Linked DNA regions of Rhinolophus ferrumequinum. The protein of the gene in region 2 purifies or fractionates together with the protein of the main gene of each other region. This does not show direct contact. Links are inferred from orthologs where the notes say so. Each region holds a gene or a part of one and is shown on either strand. Other genes may lie near its edges.

What was found.
Region 1: the proteins of HSP90AB1 (region 2) and FGFR3 purify together in Homo sapiens (affinity purification with mass spectrometry; 3 studies listed by BioGRID and IntAct, with this or other methods). This does not show direct contact. The link is inferred for Rhinolophus ferrumequinum from reciprocal best matches to the Homo sapiens genes HSP90AB1 and FGFR3.
Region 3: the proteins of HSP90AB1 (region 2) and DNAJC7 purify together in Homo sapiens (affinity purification with western blotting; 3 studies listed by BioGRID and IntAct, with this or other methods). This does not show direct contact. The link is inferred for Rhinolophus ferrumequinum from reciprocal best matches to the Homo sapiens genes HSP90AB1 and DNAJC7.
Region 4: the proteins of HSP90AB1 (region 2) and TTC4 purify together in Homo sapiens (co-immunoprecipitation; 3 studies listed by BioGRID and IntAct, with this or other methods). This does not show direct contact. The link is inferred for Rhinolophus ferrumequinum from reciprocal best matches to the Homo sapiens genes HSP90AB1 and TTC4.

Annotation. Positions count from the first base shown.
Region 1 is NC_046288.1:87,185,513-87,193,082, forward strand, and holds the start of FGFR3 (fibroblast growth factor receptor 3), read right to left. Parts: upstream 3,009-7,570; 5' UTR 2,847-3,008; intron 2,576-2,846; 5' UTR 2,474-2,575; coding exon 2,365-2,473; intron 284-2,364; exon of another isoform or gene 150-283; intron 1-149.
Region 2 is NC_046286.1:13,470,960-13,478,089, reverse strand, and holds the start of HSP90AB1 (heat shock protein HSP 90-beta), read right to left. Parts: upstream 3,001-7,130; 5' UTR 2,841-3,000; intron 1,981-2,840; exon of another isoform or gene 1,845-1,980; intron 1,428-1,844; coding exon 1,281-1,427; intron 982-1,280; coding exon 775-981; intron 670-774; coding exon 510-669; intron 349-509; coding exon 215-348; intron 96-214; coding exon 1-95. UniProt on the Homo sapiens protein: Molecular chaperone that promotes the maturation, structural maintenance and proper regulation of specific target proteins involved for instance in cell cycle control and signal transduction. Undergoes a functional cycle linked to its ATPase activity.
Region 3 is NC_046304.1:37,894,149-37,901,177, forward strand, and holds the start of DNAJC7 (dnaJ homolog subfamily C member 7), read right to left. Parts: upstream 3,003-7,029; 5' UTR 2,930-3,002; coding exon 2,853-2,929; intron 2,584-2,852; exon of another isoform or gene 2,565-2,583; intron 1-2,564. Other genes in the region: NKIRAS2 (NF-kappa-B inhibitor-interacting Ras-like protein 2), read left to right, coding at 6,291-6,384, 6,797-7,029. UniProt on the Homo sapiens protein: Acts as a co-chaperone regulating the molecular chaperones HSP70 and HSP90 in folding of steroid receptors, such as the glucocorticoid receptor and the progesterone receptor.
Region 4 is NC_046292.1:39,238,687-39,246,238, reverse strand, and holds the start of TTC4 (tetratricopeptide repeat protein 4), read right to left. Parts: upstream 3,018-7,552; 5' UTR 2,815-3,017; coding exon 2,704-2,814; intron 2,698-2,703; exon of another isoform or gene 2,533-2,697; intron 2,097-2,532; coding exon 1,979-2,096; intron 1,229-1,978; coding exon 1,067-1,228; intron 1-1,066. Other genes in the region: MROH7 (maestro heat-like repeat-containing protein family member 7), read right to left, coding at 7,261-7,505.

The DNA.
Region 1 (7,570 bases), on a different chromosome or scaffold from region 2:
TTTCGTGGACAGGCCCCAAGTGGAACCTGAGGCCCTGGAGGGAGGGGGCGCTCATGGGCTCAGTGCAGGGGCTCAGAGGCCACAAGTCCAGCCGGGGGCTCAGCCCAGGTTAATGAACCACCCAGACGCCCTAGAGGCTCAAAGTCCAGCTCTGTGGAGGAGGTAGTGGGAGAGGTTGCAGCCAATGCCTTCCGGGAAATGGTGAAATAGTGCACTGAAGAGACCCCTTCAGGCTGGGTGGGTGGTGGCAGCGTCCTGCTGCTCCCATCAACCTCCCTTCCAGGTAGGAGACCCTGCCCAGACCCTTACCAACAACATGGCCTCGTGTGGAGGACCCTGCCTTGGTAGGGCCTGAGGTGACCAGGGCAGTCCCAAGCTGACACCTTTCCCACCGAGTCCTTGACCCTGGCCAGCTCTGGCTCCATAATTTATGATCCTGGGAAAGTGCCAGCCAGGCCGGACCTCTGGAAATTTCATGAGGCCTTTGTATTTTTACTGCCCGGCCCATCTCTTTAAGGAACTGGATTAAGTTTGTTGACCTATCAACTCACTACCTGTTTCACCACCTTTACTGCGGGGACGGGAGTGCGGGGGCGCCAAGGCTGTGGCCAAGGGACAAGGCGCCCAGCCCCCTCCCGCATCCTTGGAGGTTCTTCCTATCGCTCTACCCACGCCCGCACCCGGTGGGGGCACCACAGGCTCTGCGTCCCAGGACCGGGCCTCGCAGTCACCGCCAGTTCCGGGAAGGGGGGTGGATGGAGGAGGCCACTACCCCCGCGCGCAGCAGGGGGTCCGGGAGAGGGTATGGAGCCCCGCCCGCTGCCCCCTCCCCTGGAGCTAGTTGACATTCCCTGGGCGTAGAGAGTAATATCTTTATCTGAATGCGAATGCTAATGCAGGGCTCCCCCCGCGGCCGCCTATTCGGCGCCCCTGGAAGCGGGGGCCGCCCGAGCAGGCGTAAAAGCGCGCGCTGACCTCCCGACGGCCTCTGTCACGCCGCTGAATGACACGCACATTCAAGCGCTGGGCCCACTTTCATTCATAAAAAAATGACATTGTTCCGGGAGGCTGCAGCCGCTGCCGGAGAGAGGGGCGCGGAGAAGGGGGGGGCCGCAGGGAGGGGCGGGCCGCCATCTGCCTGTGTCCTGCCGGCGGCCGCCGCCTCGCTGGCACGGCGCGCCCGCAGCCGCTGCGCTCACACCTCCCCGCGAGGCTGCCCCGGCGCCCGCCGTCAATACGCGTCTATAGCCACGCCGAGGTACAAAGGAGCGGCTGTTCGGGTCCGCCCGGGTGGGGCGTGAGCTCACCGGGCTAAGGCCTCCCTCCGCGCGGCCGCCGGGCAGGGGGCAGGGTGCGCACAGCCCACTCGCCGGCGCCCAGGAGTTGGCTGTCCCCAAGGGGCGGGCTCCCTGCGGTCGGCCGCCGGACCACGCGTCTCCGCCCTGCCGCCCGGAGCCTGGCAGCGCGCGTTAGGTGCGGCGATACCGGGATCGCCCGGTCGGCCTCCGCTGGGGGCGAGCGCTACACCTCCAGGGCCGCGGCGCGTGTGCGGGGCGGGGCCTGGAGCAAAGACGCGCTCCGCCCCTCCGCTGCCCTAGCTCAGCGGGCGGAGCCCTCCTCGAGACCCTCGACGTCCCGCCGGACCTTGACCACCAACTGGGGTCCGCGGCTCCACGTCCCTCGGACGTCCGCCCTCTCACCTCCTGGTGTCCCCCCTGGCGTTCGGCGCGCACTTCTGGGGAGAACACACCTTCATCCACTGGACATGAGAGTAGGGTGGGGGTACGGAGGCACTAGAAGGTGTCGCCTTGTCATGCAGGCTACTGGGTGGCAAGGGCCGGGCCGCGGGCTGACGCACTCTCATACCCTCCCTCCAAAGTCCTGCCCCTCGCTTTGGCCGAAGCTAGCCATGAACTGGGGCCCTAGAGGGGTTGGGGGAACAGCACCAACAATAGAAACTTTCCGTCACTGCAAAACCCGCAGAACAACAATAGGAATCGTGGAGACGCAGCCCCCACGCCCTCCCGATGGCGCCTGGGGGCAGACTGCGCCCACTAGGGAAGAGCGGGGGCGGGAGCTGAGGACGCCACCTCGTGCCCAGTTCCCTGCCTCAGCCTCGCACTTGGGTGGTAGCCCTGCGGCTCCAGGCGCCCCACAAACTGCCGCGCCAGCTCTGGCCACGATCGCCGGGGAGGAAGGGCGGCAGAAACCCGGACACTGGCCTCCCGGTGCCAGCCCAGTACGCGCCTTCGGACCCACTCAGATCCGCGGCCCCACCACCCAGGCGTCCGTTCCCCGGCCGCGATGCCCTCTGCCTGCCGGGGCCCCAGGCCCCTCTCCTGTGCCCGTCGGATCCTTCCTTACCTGCCGCTCTCCGCACGACGCGCTGCTCCGCACCCTGGGGCCCCGAGGCAGCGCGGGTCACAACCGCCACGGCCACGCAGAACACGAGGACGCAAGCCGGGGCGACCATCGCGGGGGCAGGGGCGACGGCTTTCTCAGGCGGAGCGCGTGGGCATGCTGCCCCCCATGGCCCCGCTCTGGCACCGGCGGGAGGAGGGCGCCGCTCGGGAGTCTGCGGGAGGAGGCAGGCAGCTCGTTACCCTGGCCGCCTGGCGCCGGCCGCCTCCTCCCGCCGCGGTCCCTCCCTCCTCCCCCCTTCCCTCCCTGGCTGCTGCTGAGCCCTCCCAGGGCGGCGGCGGCCGCAAACTTTCCAGAGCGGGAAGCCCGCGCCCCGGCCGGGCCTCGCCATGGAGATTGCTCGGGGTCCCGGCCCGCCGGGCGCTCTGGCCCCGCCGCGCGCCCACCTCGACCCCACCGCGCCTGCCCGGCCCCCGCGCACCGACCTGGCGGCCGCCGGCGCCCAACTCGCTGCGCGCGGCCCTTGCTTCGGCTCGCTGCTTGCCGGCCCAGCGCCTGCGCCCCGTCCCTTCTGCCGTCGGTTCGCCGGTGCGTCCGTGCGCCGGGCCGAGAAGGACCGCGCGGCGCCAGATGCCCGCGCCGCCGCCGCCACCGCGCACTGAGCCTAGGCGGCCGGGCGCGCTGCAGCCAGTGGGGGCCGGCCCGCGCGCGCCCCGCCTCCGGCCCCGCCCCGGCCCCGCCCGCCCCGGCGCGTTCGGGAGCGGAGACACGCCCCTCCCCTGGGGCGGTCCGGAGGCGGGGCCGCGTCTCGCCTCGTCCCCGCCCGCGGAGGGGATTAGAGGGGGCGGGGCCGGGCGGGGCCGGGCGGGGGCGCCGGGCGGTCTCCGAGGGCGTGGGAGCCGGGGCTTGAAGGGTGAGGTCTCGGTTCGCACCGCTAGGCGCCCAGGGAGGCCAAGAGCAGGCCTCTGCTCAGCGCGCAGTCCGGTTACCACCCGGCCGCGGATTGGGGGCTCAGTGTGGTCTCGGTGGGTGAAGCATGTCTGAGAGGCTTCACCTAGAAGGTGCTGCCCACGCTGAACCCAGACATGTGAGCAGCCGGTCTTCGGGTGCAGGAGCGCCGGACGGTGTGGGGGCTGGTGCTGTGAGCAAAAGCCTGAGGGTGAAGGGCCGCTCTGCCTGTCTGCTTGGGGCCAGAGTGCAAGAGGACGGCACCCCAGAAGCTGTGGGCTCACTGCTGCATTTATTAAGCACCTGTGGCACATGTAGCTAAGCTGCCTGAGTTCCCTGCCAGAGGGAGTCATTATCCTGCATCCCTAGGTGACAAGTTTGGAGACTGGGTGTTTGACGGGCATCAGAATGGAGAGCAAGGGCTAGGGGCCCCAGGTGGGGGGCCAACTCTAGAGCTCTGAGGAAGGATCACGAGGGGAGCTGCTTGCAAAGTCTGAGCTGGCCTGAGATGTGCCAGGCCCCGGGGCACTGCAGGGTGGTGCAGAGCTGAGCTGGGGAGGACCCCATGTGACTATAGCTTCTGAGCGCAACTTCACAAGGGGTCTCTTCCACTTTCAGGCAAGCCCAGAAGTGTTGAGGCCCTCCAGGAGCAAAAGAGGCGAGAGGGTGTCACCTGGGCATGGCTCAGAGGCACCAGCCAAGTGCCTCGGCCCCCCCTGGCTGTGGCTTCTAGGACTCGGTTTGCACACCAGGCAAATGAGCAATAAACGCCCCTCTGACTGGCTGCTGGGGCCACCCACATCTCAGGTGCTACCTCTGCTGCCAGAAGCCACGGAGGTCAGACTTCAGGGCCTGAGATGGGCCCCACCGCCAGGAAGCCCTCACACCCATCCCTCTGTGCCCACCTGGCAGATCAGCCCCTCTCTGCCACAGGCTGCCATCACTGCCTGCTCTGGTTATGACCATGTACCCCAGACGGAGCGGGGCCCACTGAGCTGTAAGTGGGCTGTCCAGACCCCTCCAGTGCATAGCCCCAGGACACCCACATTTAGGTCCTCCTCCAGGATATGCCATCCCCGGGGCCACAGTGACACATTCTGCTCTAATCTATTACCTGGTTACTTAATCAGTAACTTAGTATGCCAGGATGGATGTGGACTGCTGGTCCCCTTGGCCCCCTTTCTCGGAGTGGGGGGGGCTGGATTGGGCTTGACCCCCCCACACACCCATTTTTTTGTGGAAAGAGCTGGCAGGTGAAGCAGGATCAGCCTGGGTGGGGTAGGCAGGAGGGGCCAGCTGTCGGCACCTGAGGCCTGGCCTTCCAAGGCTCTTCTGAGGTTCAGGAAGGGCTCTGCATTGTCTCTGGCACGTCCCTCCCCAGGACGGCGCCCACAGCCCCTCCCTGGCCTCCTGGTCTCTGAGAGGTGAGCAGCCATCCCTCTGTAGCTTTCTGCTTTCTGCCCCCAGAACTGTGACCTTAGCAGAAGTGCTCGTGGTGGGGTGTGGGCCTGTGTGAGCTGTTCTCTACGTGCCTCCCCCCGCCCTGTTCCTTCTCCCAGCCATCCCAGCCCCACCACAAGCCCCATGCAGTATCTCAGGCCCTCTTGCTCTCCAGCTTCTATGTGGCGTTCGCCAATGGGCATGGCCAGTAGCAGCAGAGGGAGGCAGGGGATGGGCACCTCCACTTTTGCCCCTCTCCCCGTCCCTCGGGCCTGTAGGGGTGGTGAGCCCCCTCTTCCTCCACTAATAGGCCTGGGTTGACCCTCAGTTCTTCACACCCTGTCTTCATTTCCCAGATGGCTATGACAGATTACCACTAACCGATTGGCTGAAATTTCCTCTCACAGTCGCGGAAGCAGAAGTCAGATCCAGGTGTCCAGCACTGGGCTCCCTATGGAGGTTCCTGCCTGCCTCTTCCAGCGTCGGGGGCTCCAGGCATCCCTGGGCTTCTGGCTGCATTGCTCCAGCCTCTGCCTCCATCGTCACATGACCACCCAGCACTTATAAGGACACCTGTCATCAGAGGTGGGTCCCACCCAGATGCTCCAAGATGATCCCCTCATCACAAGAGCTTCCCTTAACGACCCCTGCAAAAACCCTTTTCCCAAATAAGGTCGCATTGTGAGGTTCCGGGGGCAGGCTGAGGCTGAGGACCGCTCCTTTGGAGGCCCCCATTCTGCCCACCACACACCTCGTGCTGGCTGGTCCCTTTGGTGTTCCCGCCCACAAACGAAGTGGTCCCTGCATTTGGCCTCTCCATTGGCTCAGTGGTGGCATTTAGGTCAAAGGTCAGGAGTATTTTTGTGGCTCTGGGCTGAGTTGGCCAAATTACTTCTAAAGGGTCCAGGCGCGGCCCCTGTCAGCCTGCCAAGGGCGTCACTACCCACTTGTCCACCCTTGTTCTTATTATCATTGACAACATAAAGTTCCTATTCCCAGGTCCGCTGCTGCCTGGAGTGTGGTATGCTTCACAGGCCTTCCCATGACGTGGGCGCAGGCCCCTTGTTCATGGTGCCTTCTTTGCCACAGGTCCGAGATTTCGGCAACTCTCCTTAAATGAGCCGCGAGTAGCCACTGTTTCACCACAGCCCCCTGACGGAGCATTTTCCCCAGGACCCTCTGCAGTATCGTCTGGCACCTGCCCAACTGAGGTAGGTGAGCAAGGTACGAGAGTGAAGAGAGCCCGCTGAGGGCGTGTGGTGGCGCAGGAGTCTGAGGGGCAGCCAGCCAGCTGCAGGGGACTCCCACACTGCTAGACCCCTCAGTGTTCACACCTCCCTGCCCACTCCCCCATACACCCACCCCGTCTCCCTGAGGCCCACACCCCCAGGACTCCTGAGTGAAGGTAAGTGTGGAAGGCCAAGGGCAAGGTGAGAGAGTCAGGGGGCTGAGGGCAGCCCAGCACCACGCAGCCTGGTCGGTGAGTCAGAGCCAGATGGCCCGGCTTGCTGGGGCCTGTGCTCGAGCTCCAAGAGGGCTGCCGGGGGGGGGGGAGCCGGCATGCAGTGTGCCCTGGGTGCAGCTGGCCCTGTGTTTACCCCACCTTGCCTCTCCCTGCCAGGCCTGGGCTGAGGCTGGGGACATGGCAGTGAGGTGCCCTCAGCCTCGGTGTCCTTCCTGCTGTGGACTTAATCCACATCCCACCTGCTATCCACAGAGCTCCTGGCAGGCAGTGGCTGCCACAATGCCCGATAGGTGCCCGTCAGCGCTAGTGCCAAGGTAGGCGAGCCCCCTGATCAGCTCCCCTCTGGATGAGTGCCTGGCCCACAGAGAGCGCTGCTGGTGGGAGATTCTCTCTGTCCTGCCCCAAGGCCAAGAGAAGGGAAGGGGACGCTGATGCCCCAAGGGAACTTCAAGTCCCTTTTTCCCTGTCCATCTCTTCCAGGAAGCTCTTGGGACCCCCGGGGGTCTGCTCGATCTCCCCCTGGCAGCTCACCATCTGCAGCGCACATCCATACCTTCCAGGAACACTGCAGGGCACAGGGCCGGGGTCCCGGGAACAGGGCAAGCCACCACAGGATGGAGCAGGGGGGCCTCTCGATGACGGGCTGAGCTGGGCTGGGCTGATCCCCAGCCCCCAAAGAAAAAACAGCAAATTTGAGAGAGGCTGTGGCTGTTGTGGATTGTGGGTAATTTCTGCCTTTTCAAATGTATTCTTGGAAAATTTGAAGAGGGTTAAAATAAAAAAGCACAATTGATTTGCTCATTATAACAGAAATGGAATTTTAAAGAAAAAGGACAAGAGAAAATATTCCAAAATCCATTGGCCACCACTAGCTACTGTCACGATCCTTAATTTTAGCTCTGAGCTTCCTGGTAGGCTGAGCAAAAAGGGCAACACCATGAATCATGTGCAGTTAGAGGCTGTCTTCTTAGATGTGCTGTGACAGCCCCAGTCCAAACAATCTAGCCTTTTTGCCCTTTGGTTCACTCAGACCGCTAGACCTCAAATCCTGACTTTAGGTTTGGAAAATGTGGTTGCTCCCAGATGAGCAAAAAAAGGAGACCAGGGCTGTCTGTAGACACAGGAGAGTGGTAGCAGGCGTGGGGGAAGGGAGATGAAGACTCAGGCTTCCCCTGGGCTCCAACCCAGGCTCGGGGTGAGGGGCCCCCAGCTCCCGCCAGAGCCTGGCACAGCAGGCTGCTCTGGGGGAGCGGGGGGCGGGGGAGTCAGGCTGGGGAAGGCCCTGGGGGCAGGCCCAGAAGGAGGGCAGTGTGGAGGTGGCCAGAGCTGGCCAGGGAGGGGTTAAAGCCGCCGCAG
Region 2 (7,130 bases):
GGCTTATCATCATCATCTTTATCCTCCTCTTTCTTCTCACCTTTCTCTTCCTCTGCTTCATCATCACTGATTTCTTTCTCTCGTTCCTTCTCCAACTGAAAGTACCAAAGACAATAGTTTCAGAGTACAGAGCAGCAGGGATCACAAAAAACCAGGAACCACGCAATTCTCCAGAGCAGACATCATGTGTTGACAGTTTCCAGCCCATACTCACATAAAGGGTGATGGGGTACCCTATGAACTGTGAGTGCTTCTTCACCACTTCTTTGACCCGCCTCTCCTCTATGTACTCTGTCTGGTCTTCCTTAAGATGGAGGATCACTTTGGTACCCCGGCCAATGGGCTCACCTACAAAGTCAATCACAATGGAACATTTAAAAAAAAAAAAAAAGAAACTAAATGTAGAACTGTAGTGAAAGGAAACTGCTTTACAGGTAGGACACTCAAGATGTCTATTTAAATTTCCCCTGGATTCTAAGCCAGACACTTTTACAGTTAAGCCAGCTTACCATGGTCAGCTCGTACAGTGAAGGAACCCCCGGCAGAAGACTCCCAGGCATACTGCTCATCATCATTATGCTTTGTGATCACAACCACTTTTTCTGCCACCAGGTAGGCAGAATAAAAGCCAACACCAAACTGTCCAATCATGGAGATGTCTGCACCAGCCTGCCAAAAAGTTTTAAAAAGTCAAAACAAATTTCGAAAACCACAGCAAGCCAAAGAACATTAGATAAACACGGATGGTGTGTGCCTAGCTAAAATACCACACACCTGAAGAGCCTCCATAAATGCTTTAGTACCAGACTTGGCAATGGTTCCCAGATTGTTTATGAGATCAGCTTTGGTCATGCCAATGCCAGTGTCCACCAGAGTCAGAGTACGTTCCTGGGGGTTGGGGATGATGTCAATTTTCAGCTCTTTACCACTGTCCAACTTGGAAGGGTCAGTCAGGCTCTCATAACGTATCTTGTCCAAGGCCTGGAAATACAAATTTTATTTTTACAATGCTGCTTTCTTAAAGCACAACTCTTCATCCAATAAAAAACTTCATTTTTTACTCCTCAATAGCTTCAATTCTGAATACCCTTTGAAGTTTCAAAGCCACATACAGTTAGTTACACTATCCCATCTATCCAGAGAGTAAGACAAACCTGTTTGGAACGCTAGGTTTATCCCCTTCAATAGCAGGCCCCACAAAAATGCCAAACCACCCCTCATCACTTTTCCGGATTGCTAAAAACACATCCAGCCCCGAACACCCCTTCCCCAGCACTCACATCAGAAGCGTTACTGATCAATTCCCGAAGGAAAATTTCTTTGTTCGAATAGAAAGTATTGATGATGAGAGACATAAGCTGGGCGATTTCTGCCTGGAAGGCAAAAGTCTCCACCTCCTCCTCTCCATGGTGCACTTCCTCAGGCATCTAAATAAGAAGAGTCAAGAATTACAAAAGAATGGAATGGCCCTGAATTTAAGACTCCCAAAACAAACCCCAATCACAGTGAACACTGGGAGACAGTTGGTTCAAACTGCTCTGAGTGAGGTACCACCTAGCCATTCCCCAAGAGGCTTTGCTTTCTTCAAGATTTCAGACTGCACCCTTAGTCGCAAACCATTTGGGGGCTGGGAAGCCAACACGTTCTTCAACGAAACAGAAAAGCAGGTTTTTTGGAAATCAAACTACTGTTAAGTGTTCCACGGACCAGCAGCCTCAGCATCACCGGGTTACCTTGTTAGAAATGCAGAATCTTGGCCCCCAACCCACGTATCTCAAGTTAAGAATTCCAGGAAATCCACACGCACGTTTCAATGTAGAAATCACTAACCACAGTTTTATTACCTCTTTTTGGTCCAGGTGAAGGAGAAAAACCCGGTCACTCGTTTTATGTTAATGGCAATAATGTGAAATTGCTTCCCAAGTAGGTACCTCCTACCTCGCCCGAGCACGGGATTGCTGACTCACGTGGTAGGGGAGGGTAACCCGAGATCGGTGGGATACCCGCCGGGAGGGGAGGGGGACTATTAAGACAAAGAAGCCGATAAAACAAAAGCACAGTCGTGACCCCTCGGCTCACGTGACTCAAGTGTAGGCCTAAACACAACTAAGATGGTGGCCGTGGTCTACCGGATCGACCCTCGTCACTACCGGACATGCGTCGGCCAGGGCCACGCGAAAACGGGGTGCCGCCGCGCAGCCTCCCTGCGCTCCAGCATTCGGGCACCAGGGCGGGGCGCCGGGCTCCAGAAGCTTCCAGAACAATCTCAGCTCTCGGAGAAGGGCGGGGGTTTAGGAGCCCACGAATCTTCCAGAACCCGCCTCCTCCCCTCCTCCACGCGAATACAGGAAAGATCTAGAAGGACGGTGGGCCAGTAGAGGGCCAAAGCGTTCCTTATCGCAGACCCTCACGGACTTGAGAAACGCGTCTAAATAAAACAGGTGGCACAGCCAGACCAGCACCAGGCTGTGCTGAGTCACACCGAGCGCGCACACCCACAACCCTTGCGGACCCTCTAGCGCCCCGTAGCCGCGGTCCGGAAATGGAGGGGCAAAGATGGCAGCGTCCCGGGCCGGCGCAGCCACCACGTGCAGTAGCCCACTACCCCAAGGCCACTCCGCGGCCCACCTCGGCCAAGGCTAGTCGTTGCCCGGGGGAAACTCCGCCGCCTAAGCATACAAGGCAAAACAAGCTCCATTCGAGAACCCCCTCCCACCCACCTAGAAATTGTGGCATCCCAAAGGCAGCCCAGCACAACAAAATCGGGCCTTTGGAAGGGAAAAGAGGGACGAAATACGCTCAGAGACAGAAAAGGCTGAAAGAGAAAAGTGCGGCCTTACCTTAAAGGTGAAGAGATGCAAGTACTAGGGAGAAAGGTGGACACCGACTGTGACCGGCTCACACACCGCTGAAAGCGTGCGTGGGGGTAACTCAAGAGAAGGGCTGTGTGACCCCCTAGTCGCTCTATATAGGGCGAAGTACAGCCCTCCCACGGATCCCTCCGCCTTAAAGCAGGATGTCTGTCAGCTCCGCACCTGCTGCCGCCCGCCCACCTTGACGTCATGGCCAAAATCGGGGCGGAGACAGTGAAGAGCGGGAGCAGTGGTTCTCAGTGTCTGCAAGGGGCGCACACTTTTTTATTGGCTTACGTATCCCCATCTCCGCACTTCACGGGCGTGACCCCACCAGAATTAGAGGTTGGGTGGGAATGCTTAGATGATCCAGGTGGATTTAGGGTCGAGGGTCCCACTGATTTCCCTTAAAACCTGTGGGGCAGGCCCCTCCACTGCTAACTCCTGGCCTTGAGGGACACCTAAAAAGGGGCGGATGGAGGTGGCCAATCACTCCGACCTCCGCTCCCAGTCTAGATGGACCTCCCTCTTAGAATCTGCTCTGCACATTCCTACATCCCGATAAGGGGTTTTCTCTGGGGCGGTACAGAATTCCAGGCTGAACTTCGGGCAGCCGCCGGCTCCGGCTCTCCGGTGGTTGTGGGGTGGTGGGCGGGGGGAAGGGCCAGCGTTTCGCAGCGGGGCGTGGCGCCGGCCCAGACTGGTGGAGGGACTCTTTGCGGCGGAAGGAGAGACAGCGGCAGTACTGCGACGCTTCCAGCAGTTTCCAGACCCCAATTGGCGGCCCCGCCCTCGCCCCACCCTCTTCCCTCGAGGCTCCGCCTCGCCCGCTGCGGCCTGGGCGGTGTCTCTGTGGCGCCGCGACAATTCTACCAGAGTCACTCGGGAGAGGGTGGGCTGCTCCAATCCCCTGTACTCTAGAAGGCCGCCTGCGGGACCCTCTATCCAACTTACCGGGTCCACCTAGCTTGGCACTGGGTGGGATGGAGCCCAAAGGGAGTGATTGACTGCTCCTGTCCCTCATCGATGACACAGCACCCTGCTCTGCAGGAGCTGCCTGGAGCGAGCCGAGATAGGTCGCTTCGGGAGGGACTCTCCCTCTGGCTGGGACCCAGCCTCTGTTGCTGACCAAGTGTGGAATGCAGAGACGTGTTACCTCCCTGCATACCGAGGTGTCATTAAAAGATACAGTGAATGTTTAAATTTAAAAAAATGTGTTGGGGCTGGCAGGTGCCTCAGGTGGTGGGAGCGTTGTACTCCTAATGCCCAGGTAGTCTGTTGGATTCCCACGTGGGCCAGTGAGCTGCGCCCTCTACAGCTAAGATTGTGAACAACGGCTCTCCCTGGAGCTGGGCTGCCTTGAGCAGGCATGAGCCGCTGTGAGCTGCCAACTGATGACCCCATTGCCTCAGCTGGGGGGAGCGCAAGGCTCTTAATACCAGCATGGGCCAGGAAGCTGTGTCCTACACAACTAGACTGATAAACAACGGCTTGAACTGGAAGGGGGAGAGGTGGAAAGGGGGAACCGAACAGGAAAAAAATTTATTATAGTAAAAGACACATTGCCATTGTCTTCTTCCTCCATCATGACAACGCTCTGTGTCACACATCGCTTCTGGTATACGGCAATTATTGTCAAATAAAGACGTTATGGTGTGTCCTCATCCACCTTATTCACGGGATCTGGCACTGTGTGACTTCTGGCTCTTCCCCAAAGTCAAAATGACTATGAAAGAAAAACATTTTGAATCGATTCAGAACATCGAGGCAGCCACAACAGCGCAACTAAAGACGCTCACCAAAGAGGACTTCCAGAAATGCTCCAGAAAGTGGCCAGAATCACGGGATAAGTGTGTTCAAAGCAAGGGGTATTAATGCCAATGTGTCTTTTACTGTAATAATTTTTTTTAAATTTAAACATTCACCGTAGTTTTTGATCACACCTTGTAAGCACATAGAGCTGTTTCTCAATCTGGTTTTGTTTCTTTTCACCCTCCTTCTGCAGCTACCTACACCTGGGGAGGGGAGGGTCTCCAGGGGACCTGCAGAATGGCAGGGCCTTTTGGAGACCACATGAAGACACTGGCCCATAGCGCCCACTTCAGACGTCCAGAACCAAGTTGTCCTCCTTCAGCTGTGACGCCTTATGCCCGGAGAGCTGCAGGTTGCCTTGCCTCACCCGGCTCTGCAACTTTGCACGCCCTCCAGCTAGCAAACTGTCTTTGCCTTTCTAAGGCCTTATCTTGGAAGGCTGCTGGACCCATAGCCTCTCCAGGAAAGAATGGCCACTCCCTGCTCTGTGACCTTGTGACTCACCAAAGAGGACGTCCATCAACTCCCTTCCTGACCCACTCTGTCTGTCCCTGCAATGCTGGGGAGGTGTTCCCCCAACACCACCTGAAGTCCTCTGTCGCCGGCCTTGGTGCCCAGTTTTCTTTCCTTCCTTCATATTTTCTTTGTTCGTGTGTGGAATTCCAAAGAACAAAGGACCCTGGCTTTCCTTGCCTCACATCCCAGACCTCATCACCCCTGCCACCAACACCCCAGTTTCATCTCTCCTGACCCATCTACACCCCATCATGCTGGTCTGCGAGAAGCCTGTGGCTGGGAGATGTAATAGAGTATGGGAAAAGGCATTGTGCTGCTTCCAGGAAGGCTCCAAGAGTCTCTGTCCTTGATCGAAATCTCAAACTAGGAGCATAGTCCCTTAACACACCCCCTTTCCCTCTGGGCAGAAGGGACCTAGCTAATTACAAATCTGTTTCCTAGTTCACAACGAGCATTCACAACATCTCACAGTCCTGTGAAGAGGTAAAAGTGAGTCTGCATATTCTAGGGATTGGGAAGGGAAGGCTTCAGGGACTACATCAGGGTCAGTCAGCTCAGAGCCTTTGCTACGCTAACTCCCTTGCTGCAACCCTGCTACAGAAATGGAGTGGGAAAGCTGTCTCCCCTCTCAGGACACAAGTCCAAAGCAGAGCGGCAATCACTCCTGTGAATCACTATCAGGACCAGAGACTACTCAGGTTTTCTAATGGGAAAAATCTCAAATCTTGAACCAACACAGACATTCCAACGTCTCTTCTGAAGCCTTCCAAGATGTCTTCTCCCACTCGTTGATGCTCAGGAAGACCCCACTGTGAGCCTCCCCTGGGGATGCAGAAATGCGTAAGGACAGGGAGTCTTTAGCTACTGGGGACTGCCCCAGGCCAAATGTGAATCATAGAAGTATGGGAGCAGGTCAGAGACTCCTAACTCAGCCCAGGGAAGGGGGCAGGCTTAGGGCTATGGCTAGCCAGGCCACAGTGCAAGTCTAAGAGAAAAACAAGGCACAACCCTGACAGAGGGACCATAGTCCACGAACCACTGAGGAAGGCAGGAAGAGCTGAAAGTGACTCTGCAGGCAGGAGTCAGGTTTAGAAAAGGCCCCAAATGCGATACTAAGAAGTTCTGACCTTGACTGAGGGTGAGAGAAGCCACTGGCCGCTATTAAAGATGGTTTAAACCCCCCCTCCCCCGATCTCCAGAATCCTACTCCCAGTAGTACTTGCAATGCTTGATGTTCCCTAGATATCCATTATTCCTGACCTGGCCTCAAAGACCCAACCCAACCTTTTGCCATTGGAGGGCGGCGACATGAAACAAGACAAACTATGGCCTGCAGCTAGTGAGCCTGTTGCTTGTTTTTGTATGGCCTATGGGTAAGAATGGTTTTTACATTTTTCAATGGTTGGAAAAAAAATCAAAAGATAATATGTTGGCATGTGAAAAATATATGAAATTTAAATTTGTGTCCACAAAGTTTTACTGAAACACAGCCATGCTCAGGCTCATTTGTTTTCATGTTGTCTTTGGGGCTTTCGTGGTGTAATGCCATGGTTGATAGTTCTGACAGAGACCACATAGCTTGCAAAGTCTAAAATATTTACTCTCTTACCTTTTACAGAAAAGGTGTGCAGACCCCTGATTTAGCTAACGCTAGGTGAGGTCTTGGAGGGAGCCTGGAGACTCAGGCTGGGCAGAGGCCTCCTGCCGCTGCTCAAACTGAGAGATCTCCTAGTTGGGCAGCACCACTGGCATTTGAAGGGCATGTAGGAGGCTGCTGAGGGGTGCTCAGATAAAGGGCAATGGGTGAACAAAGTACCCAGGGGGCATCAGGACATCAGGGATTGTACAGCATGGGGAATAGCTCTGGACCCTTAGCTCTCAGAACAAGCTCAGCACCTGCCAGGTGTGTTCTGTCAGTTCTGGTCCTTTCCAGTTCCATAGGGTTTACAT
Region 3 (7,029 bases), on a different chromosome or scaffold from region 2:
GAAGTATTTCCTCTATTCATGAACAACTTGAAATCCTTCAATTTTACAATAATACAGACCTGTAGAGACCAAGCAGCTCCCCAGACCAAGAAATGTGACCAGAGCCCTCACTCAAGAAAGGTATTCATATACTAGGTAAAGCAATCAGCAACTTCCCAGGAAAATGTAAGGCTTTAAATCAGCTGAAATGTAAAGGCTCTGAAATTAGCCCTCTGGCTCCCACATCACTTTCTCTTTTCTGGTGGGCAAAGAGAAATAAATAATCTCCATGTATAGAATGCTGATCTATTTTGGAATGGCAACTAATACATTTTTTATTTTAGCCTCTCAGCTGCTATGGGAGAAAAAGAACTTTGCCAGAGTGACAGGCAAAAAAATGAAGTCCATTTCTTTTCTCTCTAGAGATACTAAAGCTAAGGAAATAAAACATGTAGCCATTTAAAATGCTGTCATCATGAGGTCTAGTGTCTTGAAAGCTCCTCTCATTTTGCCCCCTGCGGAACTGTAACAATTTAGTAGCACAGCAGGATGTCCCTGAGTCTACAAGCAAGGAAGGAAGGAATCCCTGCTGAGCTTCACAAAAACCCAAGAGGCCCATCAACTCTCAGTGTCCCCGAGTGAACTGGTAGTAGGGCTGTAATGAGAGACATGACTTGGTCAAATGACAAACCAAACCAGATAGTGAAGGGCACTTGTAAGGGATGTCCCCATCTCTGCCCTCTGCTATGGCTACATAGGATTCCAAGATACGTGAGAAATATAAACAACCTTCCCCCAAAACTTCTAAATTCCCATTCCATTTTCAGCATTGGAAAACCATACATAACAAGGCTTTTTCTTACTAAAGATCCCAACATTTACCTTCTGAAGGATGGCAGAAAGTCAAACCGTGATTTTTTTTTTAACTTCGCTATATTTTCCTTTTGATTTGTTCACCTAAGTGGTATATGATAAACACCTATGTCTTATTATGCCTAAAAGAGATCTATATAAATATGTATAACATATAAGTCTATTTGGTAAGAATGCATTTTTTATAGTTATTTTTAAATTACAGTTCTTTTTTCTTAGTGGTAGAAAAAACAATTGTGCATTTTACAATTAATGACATTTTAAGTTTCATGAAATAAGGCAGTTAATGTAAGTCAACATTCTCTCTTATTTGGTTGTACTGCTACCAAATATCATATGCTTTTGTGTAATGTGGTCACATTGTCGCATTACCAGTTCTATGCTCAGGTTCATATACTACTTTATGATAGAATATCCTGTGAGGCCATAATTTTATTTTTTAAGGAAAAGGATTTGCTTTAGATAGGGGACTTTGAACAGGAATCCAAATTAGGGACAATCCCTACATCACAGCTTTACACTGAGTAAATGAGTTTTTTTCAATTATGTAACAGCCCAAGACCCTAATAATAGCACAAAGAACCCCAAACTGTTTCCATATGAAATAAATCCTTACAATTAATTTAGGCTCTGTGTTGGGGGCAGTTTTATTTCCCATTTTGCAGTTCCTTAATGAAGCTGATGCTGCTGAATTCTAAATACCTGGAAAGAAGGAGGACAGATGTGAAGACTCAAAACTAATAAGAAAGACTAGACTCTGGTACCCTGACTTCTCTGATATCCCACGGACCTATACTTTGTCAAGCCTCTCAGCTCCCAACAGGTCAGGAATTTGGAACCCTGGCTGCAGTAACTATCCTTAAGCTTGGTAACTATTCATTCTGCCTCACTGAATACCTCTTACGTGTCTAACTTATGTTTCTAACTTGGATAGCAAAAAAAAAAAAAATCTCAGAATCCTGATTTCAGATCTCATGCATCAAAACTTCAAATCACCCAGATTGAAAACATAATGAAATGGCCTTGGTACAAAGACATGAAATCTGTAGGAAGGAGACTGAGGGGATTGTAGACAATCTGTGCTGATAAGGGCTCCAAACTTCCAGAACCTTTTCCTTAATGTTGCTTCAGGATTAGGACAAGTATGACTACCCACAACTGTGTTCCAACCCCATTTCCCACAACCTGCTTTAGCTGTAGCCAGAATCCAGAGTGTTCTCGAAAAACACTCACTCAGCAGCTGCCTTGGCTAGTCGGGACTGGCAATCTCGAGCCCCTGCGGCTGCCCGGTAGTGCCAATAGCGCCCAAGGTGCTGCCCTCCTTGCTGCTTAAAATAAGAAAGCCCAGTCCAGGGAAGAATGCGGATGTAACTCGGAAGGGTACACGGAGGGATGGAGGAAGAGGAGTTTGACGTGTACAGCGTGAAACAAGCCCCTCACTCCTCTTTCTCTATCATCTTCGACTTCTGGGTTAACAGGGAGGGGGTGGCGACCAGGTCAACAATGGAGACACACAATCACCTCAGACCCCGGCTAGTGCTCCCTGAGATACAATTACGGACGAAAACGAGTAAAGAGAGCACAAGCTGTGGAGATGCTAAATGCTGATAGACAACAATGCACAGAAGTTAATAAGAGAAGGCGGGGGGGTAAGAGGCAATGTAAGGAAGTTGACATTGTCGCCGCGCCGCCTCCCCCACCCCGCAACAGACCTCAGATACCCTCAGGGACCAGGTCTCCACCATAAGGACCTTCCTCTCTGCAGGAGAACGAGGCCGTCCGTGCTTCAGCAACCCGGCCAGGCGGAAGCGGGAGAGGAGGACCGACCTCCGAGAGCGCCCCTTCAGGGGGTCCATCCGGACTAGATCTCAGATTGGGGGGGGGGTCTGCGGAGGGCGGGGCATCTCCTCAACAGCTAGGGGCTGCATCCTGGCAGGGACCGGTTGCCCGGAGCCACGGAGCTGAAGCTCCCCCCTTCCACTACACTGCCACCCCGTTACCTCTTCGCTTCTGCGTTGTCGGGCACCTCCGGCTCGGTCGCCGCCATTACCACATCGCACTCCGCGGCAGCCGCCATCTTACCGCCGAGACCAGAGAGCCGGGTGGGAGGCCGGCGGTGAAGAGCACTTCCGGTCGGAGCATAGAGCAGCTCGGAGACGCTGCGCCCAGAGGGGCTCCCTCGGGCCCGTCTACCAACGAGAGGCTCCGCTTCGGGCCAGAGCGGCCTCCCGCCCCCGGAGGTCCACGTTGATCTCCGCGCCGGGGCGGGGGCCCAGGGACAGTTCTTGTACGTGGGGGGCGCCACTTTACCCGTGGGTCGAAAGGGGGTTACAGGAGGGGTCGCCTCTCTAGCCTTGACTTTTCTCAGTATGCCGAAAACCTCGTTGCCATAGCAACTTCCAATCCTGTAGCGTCTCGAGGGAGTCTGAGTTGGGTGGGGACCCAGTGACCCAAGACTCTGGAGGGAAAGAGCGCTCCCCACACTACTACCTTCCCGATCTTGGAGTGTGTCCACAGCTTCCTCCTGGGAAAAGCAAGAAGAGACACTTTGAGCCCGGTTCCCCTAGCTTTCATCGGCCCCTGGAAGCCCTGCCCAGCCAAGCTAGGGGAACGCAGGGCGTCTTCACCCCACGCCTTTCATCCTCTCTGGATCTCCAGGCACCACCTGGTTCATCACCCTAATGACGCTGACCCTTTTATGAGGTTCCTTTCATGTCAGCCGCCTGGGAGTGCCATCTCAGCATTAAGCCCCAGTGGCACAGAGCCCCAGACCCTGCCCTCGAGTTTATAAGGCAGCTCGCGGGGTGAGGTCCCTGCCCCAGTGCCCTCAGTATTCCCACCCCTCATATACACTCCCTGCTCACCACGCTTGTCTTTCCGAATGCAGTCTGGATTGGGAACTCATAGAAGGCAGGGACACAGCCTAATCGTCTTTGTAGTACTTAACCTCACCCAAACCAATAATTTTTGTGGGCTTGAATTAAATTGAGGTTTCCTGAGGTTAAATTGAGAGAGTTTGAGGTTTAAAATTTAAAACTATGGGAAACTAAAATAAGATGGGAGCAAGGGAATTTAAAAAGGATCTACCTTCTTCCTCCAGTAAAACAGTATATGCTGTTGTCCCCAGTAAAACAGTATGTGCTTGCGTGGTCTCTGCCTATCAGAGTGCCAAAGGAGCTGAAACCACACCCACCATCGGGTAGGGGAGAATGGGAGAGGCTGGGTTGCAAGAGAGAGAACATTTATCCAGCGCTCTCCAAAGTGCTTACTCTCCCTACTCTAGGTTGGGAGGGCACGGACTCACAGACCACCTGCCCTGTCTGCCAATGGCTCAGTCTACAGTCTAATGTAGGAGGCAGCTTCTCACCATCTTCCCATTTTGTGTTCTCTGCATCTATGCCAACTCATCTACTCCCACAGCTTTAACTTTGTTGATGACTCTCAAGTCTGTTGCTATCTCCAACCTAGACTGCTCTTCTGAGTTCCAGATCTATATATCCAGATCTATATGCCAAAGTCTCCTAACTGGCCCCCTAGTCTCATCTCTTTCCAACCTTCAGTCTTCTGCCAGAGTGACCTTCTTAAAAGCAAAAATTGATGTCGCTTCACTAAAACCTACCAATAGCTTTCCTGGCTGTTAGGATACAGTTTGAACTTTTTGGCCTACTACACAAAACCTTTGATCATTTGGCTCCTTTCTACCATCAATATTGAACCCAAGTACTTGTAATTCCAGAAAATGCCATGATTTTTGCCGCGCTTTCTCCACCCTTTCCTCCCAAGCCTTTCAAACCTCAATACAGACATGACCTCCACCAGGAAGTTCTCTGTGGTGCCCAAGGCCCCCAAGTTAAATGCCCCCTTGCGGTGCTCCCATAGCAGCTCTGTAATAGTTCTTACCATGTTGTATTCTAATTGGTGGTTGAGATGTCTAGCTCCTCTAGACGGTGCCGTTCTAATGGGCAGGTACCATGTCTAATGCGCCCCCTTTTCCAGGTTCGTTGTCATGTACCTGGCATAGAGTAGGTACTTAGAATAAACGATTGAATAAACGATTGAATAAATGAAATGTTCCTATCCTATAGTAGCCTTCACGGAAAGAACATTTGGGCATCAGACACACCAGAACCGCACCTAGAGTGTAGGGAGCCTAGAACCTTACGATTCCGCTGTGCACCAGCTGCCCCGATCCTGGCCGTCATTTGCCTTTAGGGCCTTTGGGGGGCGCTGTGCGGACGGCGCCCGCTCTCCGCCGCCGGAATTCGTCTTGCCAGACGGAAATGGGCGGGGAGGGGGGGAGGGCAGGTCCTGAGGAAGCCCGAATCGACCCGGAAGAACGGTGTCCTTGCGGCGGTGCTGCCCCTCCCCTGATCCCGGCGCTCCTCTCGGGGCCTGGCCGGGGTGCTGCGAGGGCCCCGGGAGGTACGGAGCTGGGAGGCCGGAATCGGCCACCGCGTCAGGGTCGCTTTAGGTGGCAGATCTTTCCCGCCTTTGATTCCCTCTGGGGGTCTCCTCTTGGGGAAATTTGGCGGAGGCCCCGCTGGCTGTCTCTCTCGGGGTATCGTTAATTTCAGGGCTCAGTCTATGGAGTCCTTCGGGTGTGGGGAGGAGGATCTGTATCAGGAGTTTCCTCTGGAGAGGTTTCTGTTTGGGACCCCTTTTGGGAATGATCTCTGTGTCTCTGCTCTTTGGGGGAATCTGTCTGGGACTCCTGGGAAACCTGTGTTTGGAATGCCTTGGAAAAAAAGGTCCCTGGGACCTCCTCTGTGTCCGAGCAGGGGTTTCTGTGTCTGAGCTTTCTCATCTGGGTCTAGCAGTGCAAGGGCAGCAAAAATTGCCTGTTTTCCAGAGCCTTTTCCCCATAGATTCCTTCCTCCTTTCTTGTCTGATGGTCTTCGTCTTAGCCGTGGACTTAACTAGGAATTATAGGGAATTAATTATTGTTTAGATAAGTCGTACAGGAAAGCAAAAATATCCTCCTTATTTGTTCACTCTCTCCAGGAAGAGTAGCTTAAGACAGATCCACATAAAATAGTATTCCTGCTTATTTCTCTGTGGGGTTGTAGTTAAAAAGAGGAAGCTGAGGCTTAGCCCCCTTCCATGTCCTCCGCGTCCTGTGGACACAGGAACCTGGCCAGTGGTTCATTTAAACCAGCCACTCTCCCCTTTATGGCAACATTTACTGAACACCTGCTCTGTGCCCGTTACTGGCCAGGTATTGGGAATAACAATGGTGAATAAGATACAGCTCCCTGTCCAGTAGTGGACTTAGGCACAAAACTTCTGACATACACCCTGACTAGAGCACGGGACAGTGCTGAGTCCCTGAGGCTACACATGCAGCTCAGAACTGGGGCTCTCAGTTATGGGAGTGCTGCCCTCTGTTTTCATCCCACCTCACCCAGTGTGCTTCTGTTTTTCAGGGTTGAAGGCTAAGCATGGGGAAGAGCTGCAAGGTGGTCGTGTGCGGCCAGGCATCTGTGGGCAAAACGTCAATCCTGGAGCAGCTTCTGTACGGGAACCATGTAGTGGGTGAGTGTTGTTGGGGGTAGGGGAATGATAGAAGGTGAAGAATAGCGAACAGGATCTGATAACAACACACAGAGGCTAAGAGCTGCTCCTGGTGGTTCTTGTACCCCAAAAGAGTAAAATTTACATTACGCCCCCCAGCCCTACAACATAGAGATCTGGAGGAAGGAAGTCCAGTATCTGATATGAGGAAGGAATGCCCCCAAGTCACACTTTTGTTTGGCAGGGTATGAACATGTGATTAATGTCCCTTCCCCCAAATCATTCCAGTCCTGCCAGACTCAGTCTCTGGCCCCCACATTCCTTTCTTTCCCTGTCTGGTCACCCTGTCAGGATATACACGTATATGCTCACTCACTCACATTTCCCATCTCCTTCCTCCCTACAAACAAGTTTTCTCCTCATTTTATCCCAGGTTCTGAGATGATTGAGACGCAGGAAGACATCTATGTGGGCTCCATTGAAACCGACCGGGGGGTGCGGGAGCAGGTGCGTTTCTATGACACCCGGGGGCTCCGAGATGGGGCCGAGCTGCCCCGGCACTGCTTCTCCTGCACTGACGGCTACGTCCTGGTCTACAGCACAGACAGCCGAGAGTCTTTCCAGCGCGTGGAGCTGCTCAAGAAGGAAATCGACAAATCCAAGGAC
Region 4 (7,552 bases), on a different chromosome or scaffold from region 2:
TGCCAGTCCCTGGCACAGAATAAGAACTCAGTTTGCTGAATGAAGAACATGTATTCCTCCAGAAGTTAGAAGACTGAGTTTCTAGTCCAGGTTCTGGTACTAACCAAAGGGTCCCTCTCTGGGCTTACACAAATAAGGGGGTTGGTTAGCCCAAATAATCTCTAAAGTTCTATACCACTCTTACTTTTTAGAATTTTTTAATAAAACAGGCTAAATGAGAAAACAGTTGGAGCAGACTATGGTTGGAGAGAAACTGCTTAAATGGAATTCCAACAGACTCATCCTAGCTAGACTACAAAGCTTATTCTCTCCCAGTCCCTCAGAAATGCCTGGGGTCATTTCTAGGTCCTCTTAAAATCTGTGATAAAAAACAGGGATCTACTATGACCAAGATTACTCACTCGAATAATCAATGTTTCCCAAAATCATGTCTGCAGAAAAGTACTGCATGTTAGTAAGTCTTACTTGAAAATGGGCCTTACAAAACTTGAGAATCACAGGGTACGGTTCTTTGCTGTAGGTTATCTCAGAGTCCTTAACATACTAATGTTGCAAATCCCCAACAAAGCAGCACTTTCCAAACTTACTTGTCCAAAGAATATTTTTTACTTCAACGGTCCCAAAGAATACTCTTTGAGAAATTCTCCCTTAAATTAATAGTTTCTCTCACACAAAGACCTCTACTGCCTTAATCCTTCCAGCATCCTTGAGAAGAGGGTAAAAGGCCAGGAAAAAAACTCTTTTGAGAGAGACAAGCAGAATCTGGGCTAAAAAAATCCCAATCATACCAATGCGTGTTTAAGGTATTTGATGTCACTCATTTGGTTCAGGTAGTAAAAATTATACAATCTACGATGGTAAGGGATGGGAATAATTTTTTTTAAATTATACAATCCATCTGGCTTCCCTTTTCACCAAGTCTACCTGGAACATCAGAGTTCAATTAAACTACCGTAGGTGTCTGGGGTAGCTTCTCTTCCTCTGATACTCAAACTCTCCACCAGCCATCATAATGGCTTTTATCACGTTAACTCTTTAGAAAGCACTAAATAATGGAACAAATTACCCAGATAGTACTGTGCTGCTGCTCGGTTGGTATAAAGGACAGCATTCAAATCAGGGTCTGCACATTTCTTCTTTAAGCCTTCAGTGTACGAAATCACAGCTTTTTTATAGTCTTTTTCTTTAAAATAATCATTGCCCTCATCTTTATAGGTCTTGGCCTGTTCTGCAAAGAAGAGAAGAAATAATCACTATTTCCTATTTTTTAAAAGGCTCATTAAAAATAGTTTCTAAATCATTCAACAATGAAACATAATAAACCAAAGAGAAAAAATCAACAGGGAAGGAAAACTAAAAAATACTATAAAACTAGGTATCAACATGAGAAACAAAGTCATGAGTACTTAATGCAACAATCAATTCCAAATACCTATGAAGGGAGACTATTAAGTGCTTACAAAAAAAGAAGCATAAAGGAAAAAAGCATACTTATCCCAGTTCTTGAAGAAAGAACTTTTTTTTAATTACGGAAGAAAGGCAGAGAATTATACTTCTGCTTTTGCTTATGTTGTTTTATTCCCTGGAATGCAAATTCCCCTAGTAAGAGCCTACAAAATTGTTAAGATTCAGCTCAAATTTCTGATCCACGGTGAGCCCACTAATACTTCTCCACCTTCAGCGTTCCCGCAGTACCTAGTATACAGCTATGTGTTGGCACTTGTCACACACGTTTATCCTGATTCTTCAGAACAATCTAGCTATCCACTGGAGCATGATCTTTGAGGCAAGTTTTCTTCATCCCTGTGCCCCAATGCCTAGCTAGCATTTAATAGGTATCCAAAGAAGTATATGTTGAATAAATAGTAACAAGTTAGCTCAGGCTAACTACTACTTGTTATCGATCAGAACCTTTCTGATCACTCTTTATCTCAAATCAATGGCGACACAAAACAAAAATTTGAGTCATGGAAGATACCTTCTGGAGATCGCTCCTCATCAAAAATAATTGACTGGAGGCAAGCCAAGTCAGGATTCTCCATGGGATCAATTTCTGATGGCGTTTTCTTCATAAATAGGGGGATCTTTTCAAATTCCTAGAGATCGTTAAGACAAGAACAAACTATACAAATAGGATTTTCCACAGAGTAGATCCAACTCCATGTTTCTACATCAAAGTTTTCTTACTCGTCAGGATTTGCAAATCATCGTGATTGGCTATCTCTCCCTATCCCAGCCTCAGTACCCCAGCTGTAAAATGAGAGTGTAGGAAAATGATCTGTAAAGATTCTTTCGTTTATCATATTCTTACACGTGCGGGAATGATTACCATTAATTGAGTGCTCTATGTTCCTGGAGCTTTACCCACATCTCATTTCATCTTCACCGCAATCCTACGAGATTGGTGCTACAGTTGGGGCAATTTTACAGAGTCAGGAGACCGCTCAGAGAAGTTAAGTAACTGACGTATTAGAGCCAGTAAATGGTGGAGTCACAGGTCTGACTCCAAAACCAATTTTCCTAAATGTACAGGCAGATTAAGAAGACCCTCAAAATCTCGAGGCCGATTTTTAACCCTCAAGTGGAAACTGCTGACAGCGCCACGGGTCCGGGGGCTGAGGGACGCGCCTCCACGCCGCGCCGGGAACCCCAGGAGTCCGCACAACGCCCCTACAAACATGCGGAGCCCCAAGTCCTGCTTACCTCCTCCCACTGGTCCTCATGGAAGCGGCCACGGTAAGACTGACTCCGGAACTTTTCTACAAACGAGTCCATGGCGTCGTCGGAGACGGCGTCCAGTTCAGGCAGTTCCATGGTCGCTCCTCTGCCCTCCCGCCTCTGTCAGGGCGCCGAGAACTCCCGGCAACTTCCGGCGGTGCGAGCGCCCGTCCCTTAATCCTCCGGGCGGCGCCAGCCCCTGCGCCTCGGGTTCCGCGGTTCTGGGGGCGTGGCCGACCCGGCTCCACCCCTCCACCCGAAGAGCACCTGCCCCGCCCCGCGCCCCTTCAGCTGTGCTGCAGCCCCACCCCCCGAATGCTGTTGGGGTGGTGAATAAACCCAACGCTCCTCCATACCACACTATCGTATCACTTCGTTTGCTCGTTTGTTCAGCCAGTTAACACATATTTCCTAAGCTTCTGGGTTCCAGGCCTGTTGTAGTCACTGGGTATACAGCGGTGGGCAAAGCAGATAAAAGCCCTGCCCTCTAGGAGTTGATCAGGTAGTGTGAGACAGACAATAAGCACATAAGATGTTAGAGTTTGTCAGGTGGCAGCAAGAGCTATCGGAGGAAAAAAGCTTTAAACGGGTAGACAGGCTTTCCAAGCAGAGGAGGAGACCTGGAGCGGCAAGTGTGGGTGTGGGGGGGAAGGAGGAGAGTTGGGGGGAAGCGTTCCCCCTGGAGGGAAAAGGCAGGACTGAGCCCCAGCAGGGGAGCTGGCAGGGGTGAAGCAGAATGAGGAAGAAGGTGAGGTGACAGGGATAATGGGCCATGATTCTGAGAGTTCTGTGCAATGGGACCGTTTGGAGAGTTGTGAGGAAAGCAGTGCTGTGATCAGACATGGGTATTTCCGAAGTTAACTACCCGCTATTCCCCTCAGCTGAGATGGAAACAAGGTCTCTAGGCCAGGGGTGCCTTCCTGCAGCCACTGGGTTACCCAGCAAATGGTTCCTGGGCCCTGCATTGGATGCTACAGCCTGGGCGAGCTCACATCCCGGCCAAGAAGGAAATGCAGCCAGGCTGTAGACCAAGGGAAACCCGGGCTGCCTACAAGTCTGCACAGAGGAGAGTGGGCGCTGGTGGTGGGCGGAGGAGGGGAGCAGGCGGGGGCGGGTATGAGGGAAGTTTCACAGAGGTGACGCTGATCTGACAGCAGAGAGGAGGTAGGCCTCTGCAGATGCGGGGGGTGGGGGGGGTGCTGGAGGGAAGTTGGGCATTTCAGGCAGTGGGAGCCCGCCCATGTGCAGAGAGGCATGGAGGTGTGCAACAGAGCCGCATGCTAGGTACTGTGAGAGTTAAGAGGTAAGGCCAGCAAAGGAGGCAGGGGCCAGAGGGCCTGACTGTCCCTTGGCCTCATCCTGCAGAGGATAGTGAGCCACTGAAAAGACCCAAGGGCAGATTTGTCTCAGGAAGGGCAGGTTGCCAGGTGAAAGGTTGAGGGGGGAGGCTGGGTTAAGAGATTGACAAGAAAGCGGCAGATGAGAGACCTGGGGAGAGCAGAGAGCTGAAGCCCAGCAGTGGGTCTGGCAGGCGTGGTTATTATTTGCTACGAAGATGAGAGAGCCCACAGGGCTAAGGATGACAGATGGAGGGCCTGGACTGGGTTTTTCCCTTCTAATTCACCCACGTGCAGCAGAGCACCTGGTCCCTTCCCTCCACACCCAAACCTCCTTTTCCACACTTCTTCCTCCAGTCTGCTCCCGAACCATGGTTCCCATTCTTATTCTCCTCTTCATTATCTTTTCCCTTCTTGAGTACAAAGCCTACTAAGTCCTTTTACTTCCAGTTTTTCATTTGATTCCTAGAAAACCCCGGGAGGTGAGAACCCATTTTACAGGTGATTATAGGGGAGGCTCAGAGAATAGAAGTGACTTGCCCAGTGCTCTTTGACCCTTCCAACTCAAAACTACTTGGGGGCCTTGGCCAGTATCTGAGCCTATCAGCCTCTGTTGAGCTTCAAGATCACCCAGACCCGGAATATGGCAGCTGTCATTTGTCAAGGCCACCACCTAGACCTGGATTCTGGCCAATGAAAGCAGGAGTGTCTGAGTAGAAAGAGCTCAGATATGGGTGGGAGACCTTTGGGACCCACACCTATGTTGATTCCCTTTGTAACCTTAGACAAGGCCCACCGTCTTTGAGCCCTGTCCTCATCTGTCGGTTGAGGGCAATGAAGCCAGCCTGCCCTCCCCATAACTCTGTATGGCTACTGTGAGAACGCACGGAGGTGATGCTTGTGACCATTCCTGGCACTGAAAAAGGTTATGCAAAAGGACCACCCCCATTTCCTACTCTCTCTTTGGCCCCGGATCCTGATGGCCTTGGCCTGCCACTTATTGGAGGATGATTATCTGGTCAACTTCATGGGATCCTCATCCCTACCAGGAACTTAAATCGAGATGTTCTGCAGGCTTATGTCTCCGTCCACTCGACACACCTGCCCAGGGAATCTCACCTCACCCCTGTACACAGAGGAATCCCCAAACTGTTTCCATCTCAGATCCCTCTGCTGAGCTCCACCCCTATGCAGCCAGCTACCTGGTGGGTATCTCCGCTAACATGGCGCACGAGCTCCTCAAGCTCATCACGTCCAGACTGGACTCATCCCTCCCCATACCTGCTCCTGGTTTGAGGGATCACTCAGTGGGGGGATACCACTGGCCCAGTCATCCACCCAGAAACCTGGGCACCATTCTTGGTGCCTTGATCTTCTTTCCCTTCTTTCATCAACCACCAGGTTCTGAAAAATTCTCCTTCCTCATCTCACACAGGTCTGGCCACCCTCTCCATCCCACACCGCAGCCTAGCACGTCTCCCCCTTCTTCTCTGAAGCCGCTGAGCACAGGTCTCCCTGCCTGTGCTCTTGTTCACACAACCCCCTGGCCACCACCCTTCCATTCCACTCAGAGTGAGCTTTCTTCTGCTCCCTTTTTCATTTATTCCCTTTTATGCCACTTTAATGTGTTTTAATGTGTATTTTCAGCATGTAAGTGTTCTTGCAAAATGCAATGTCTTTTGGGCATACATTTTTAATATACTTTTTTCACTCAGCACTAGGTTTTAGCTCCGATCCGTGGTGCTATATGTACCCCCACTGCCTCTAACTGCTGCCACCGCGCTCACTCACCCCCCAGGATGCATACCCAGGTGCCTCCCTCCCAGGCACCACAAGTAACGCTGTATGAGGATAGACTTCCTCATACATCTCTCTTTATGGACCTGTGAGAAGATTTCCCTGAGATATATATGTGCCCATGAGTGGAATCACAGGGTCATGTGTATATGTAAACGTAATATGACTGAAAAGAGACAGATCCCTGTCCAAAACGGCTGCATACATCTCCCCTCGCAACAGCCGTGCCTAGGAGTTCCTGTATCCCCATGAGGAGGGAGCTTTCTAGAGCAGACCTCTCTCCCTGCTTGCCTCTCCCCTCTCCATCATGCCTTCCCACTGCTCTCTGGATGAAGTCTCCCTCCTTAACACTCCCCTCCCATTTGGGCTCCATTGCACCTCCCAATTTGCAGTTGGGCATTGGTCCCATGTGCCCTGCTGTCCTCCATACACGCCCACCATGTGGTCGTCTTTTCAAATCCCCTGGAGGGAGAATCTCATCTCTGGGAAACTTTCCCTGACACCCCAACAGCCAGCTGGTCTCTATACCTCCTCGGGATTCCATAGCTCCCATGCTTTCCTTCATCAGAACACTGAGCTGCCGGGCTGTTGGTGTCTTTACATGTCTAACACTTCCATTAGACCAAAGTTTCTCAACGCTGGCACTTACGACTATTTGAGTTGGATAATTCTTCACGGTGGGGGCTTTCTTGTACATTGTAGAATGTTTAGCAGCATTGCTGCCCTCTACCCACTGGACACCAATAGCACTTCCTTCCCCAAGTCGTAACAACCCAAAATGTCTCCAGACATTGCCAAATATTCACTGGGGGTCAAAATCAACCCCGGCGTGGAACCACTGCATCAGACCGTAAACTGCCCAGGGCCTGGGGTTGGGTCTCATTCATGTCTGTATCTCTAGCACCCAGAGCAGGCCTGGCCCAATTTAGTTGCTCAATAAATGTTGCCCGAATGAGTGGCAGGCTGCCACATCTATGGGCATAGACTGGAAGGTGGGCCTCAGAGATCAAGGTTCTGGGAGACGCATGATGTCATGGGGTGAGAGGAGTCTCTTTTTTCCTCCCCCAGGGGGCACTTGAATCATCATCTCCTTTTGTTCTTAGACTCTCCCTGTGGGACCTCCAGCAGACTTACTGTGTGGCTTTGAGCAAGCAGCTTCACCTTCCTGGGTCTCAGCTTCCCACTTATAAAATGTGGACAAACAGCCTATGTGAGTCCATAAATGTCAACTGAGTCAACGACAAAGGCATTGCTCCTTTCACAGATTTGTCGCACAGAGCAATGACTGCTCCAGCCCTGGGACATCTCCCATGAGGAAACACTCAGAAGGGAGAGGTAAGCCACGCAGCATTTATAGTGAGCATGGCTGGGCCTGTGGCCTCCCCTGAGGGCTGGGGGCTCAGGGACATCACTGTTTCAAGGACATCTTCCAGGAGCCCAGTGCCTGCATGATCCAGGAGCGCCGCTGGTGGGAAGTGGGCAGGTTCTCACAGCTCGAGCTCCAGCAGTGGGTGGTAGACGGCTCACATACCCAGGAGTCCTCATGGGGCAGTGGCCAGGAGTTCCGCCAGCAGCTGGCCAGGATGTTGTCCTGGGCCTGGGCCGCGTGGATGCACACCGATGCTTCTGGGTCGTGCCTCAAGTTTTCCAGAGCTGAGTTATGGGGAGGGGAGGAGCCACTTGTTAAGACCAGGTCCCCA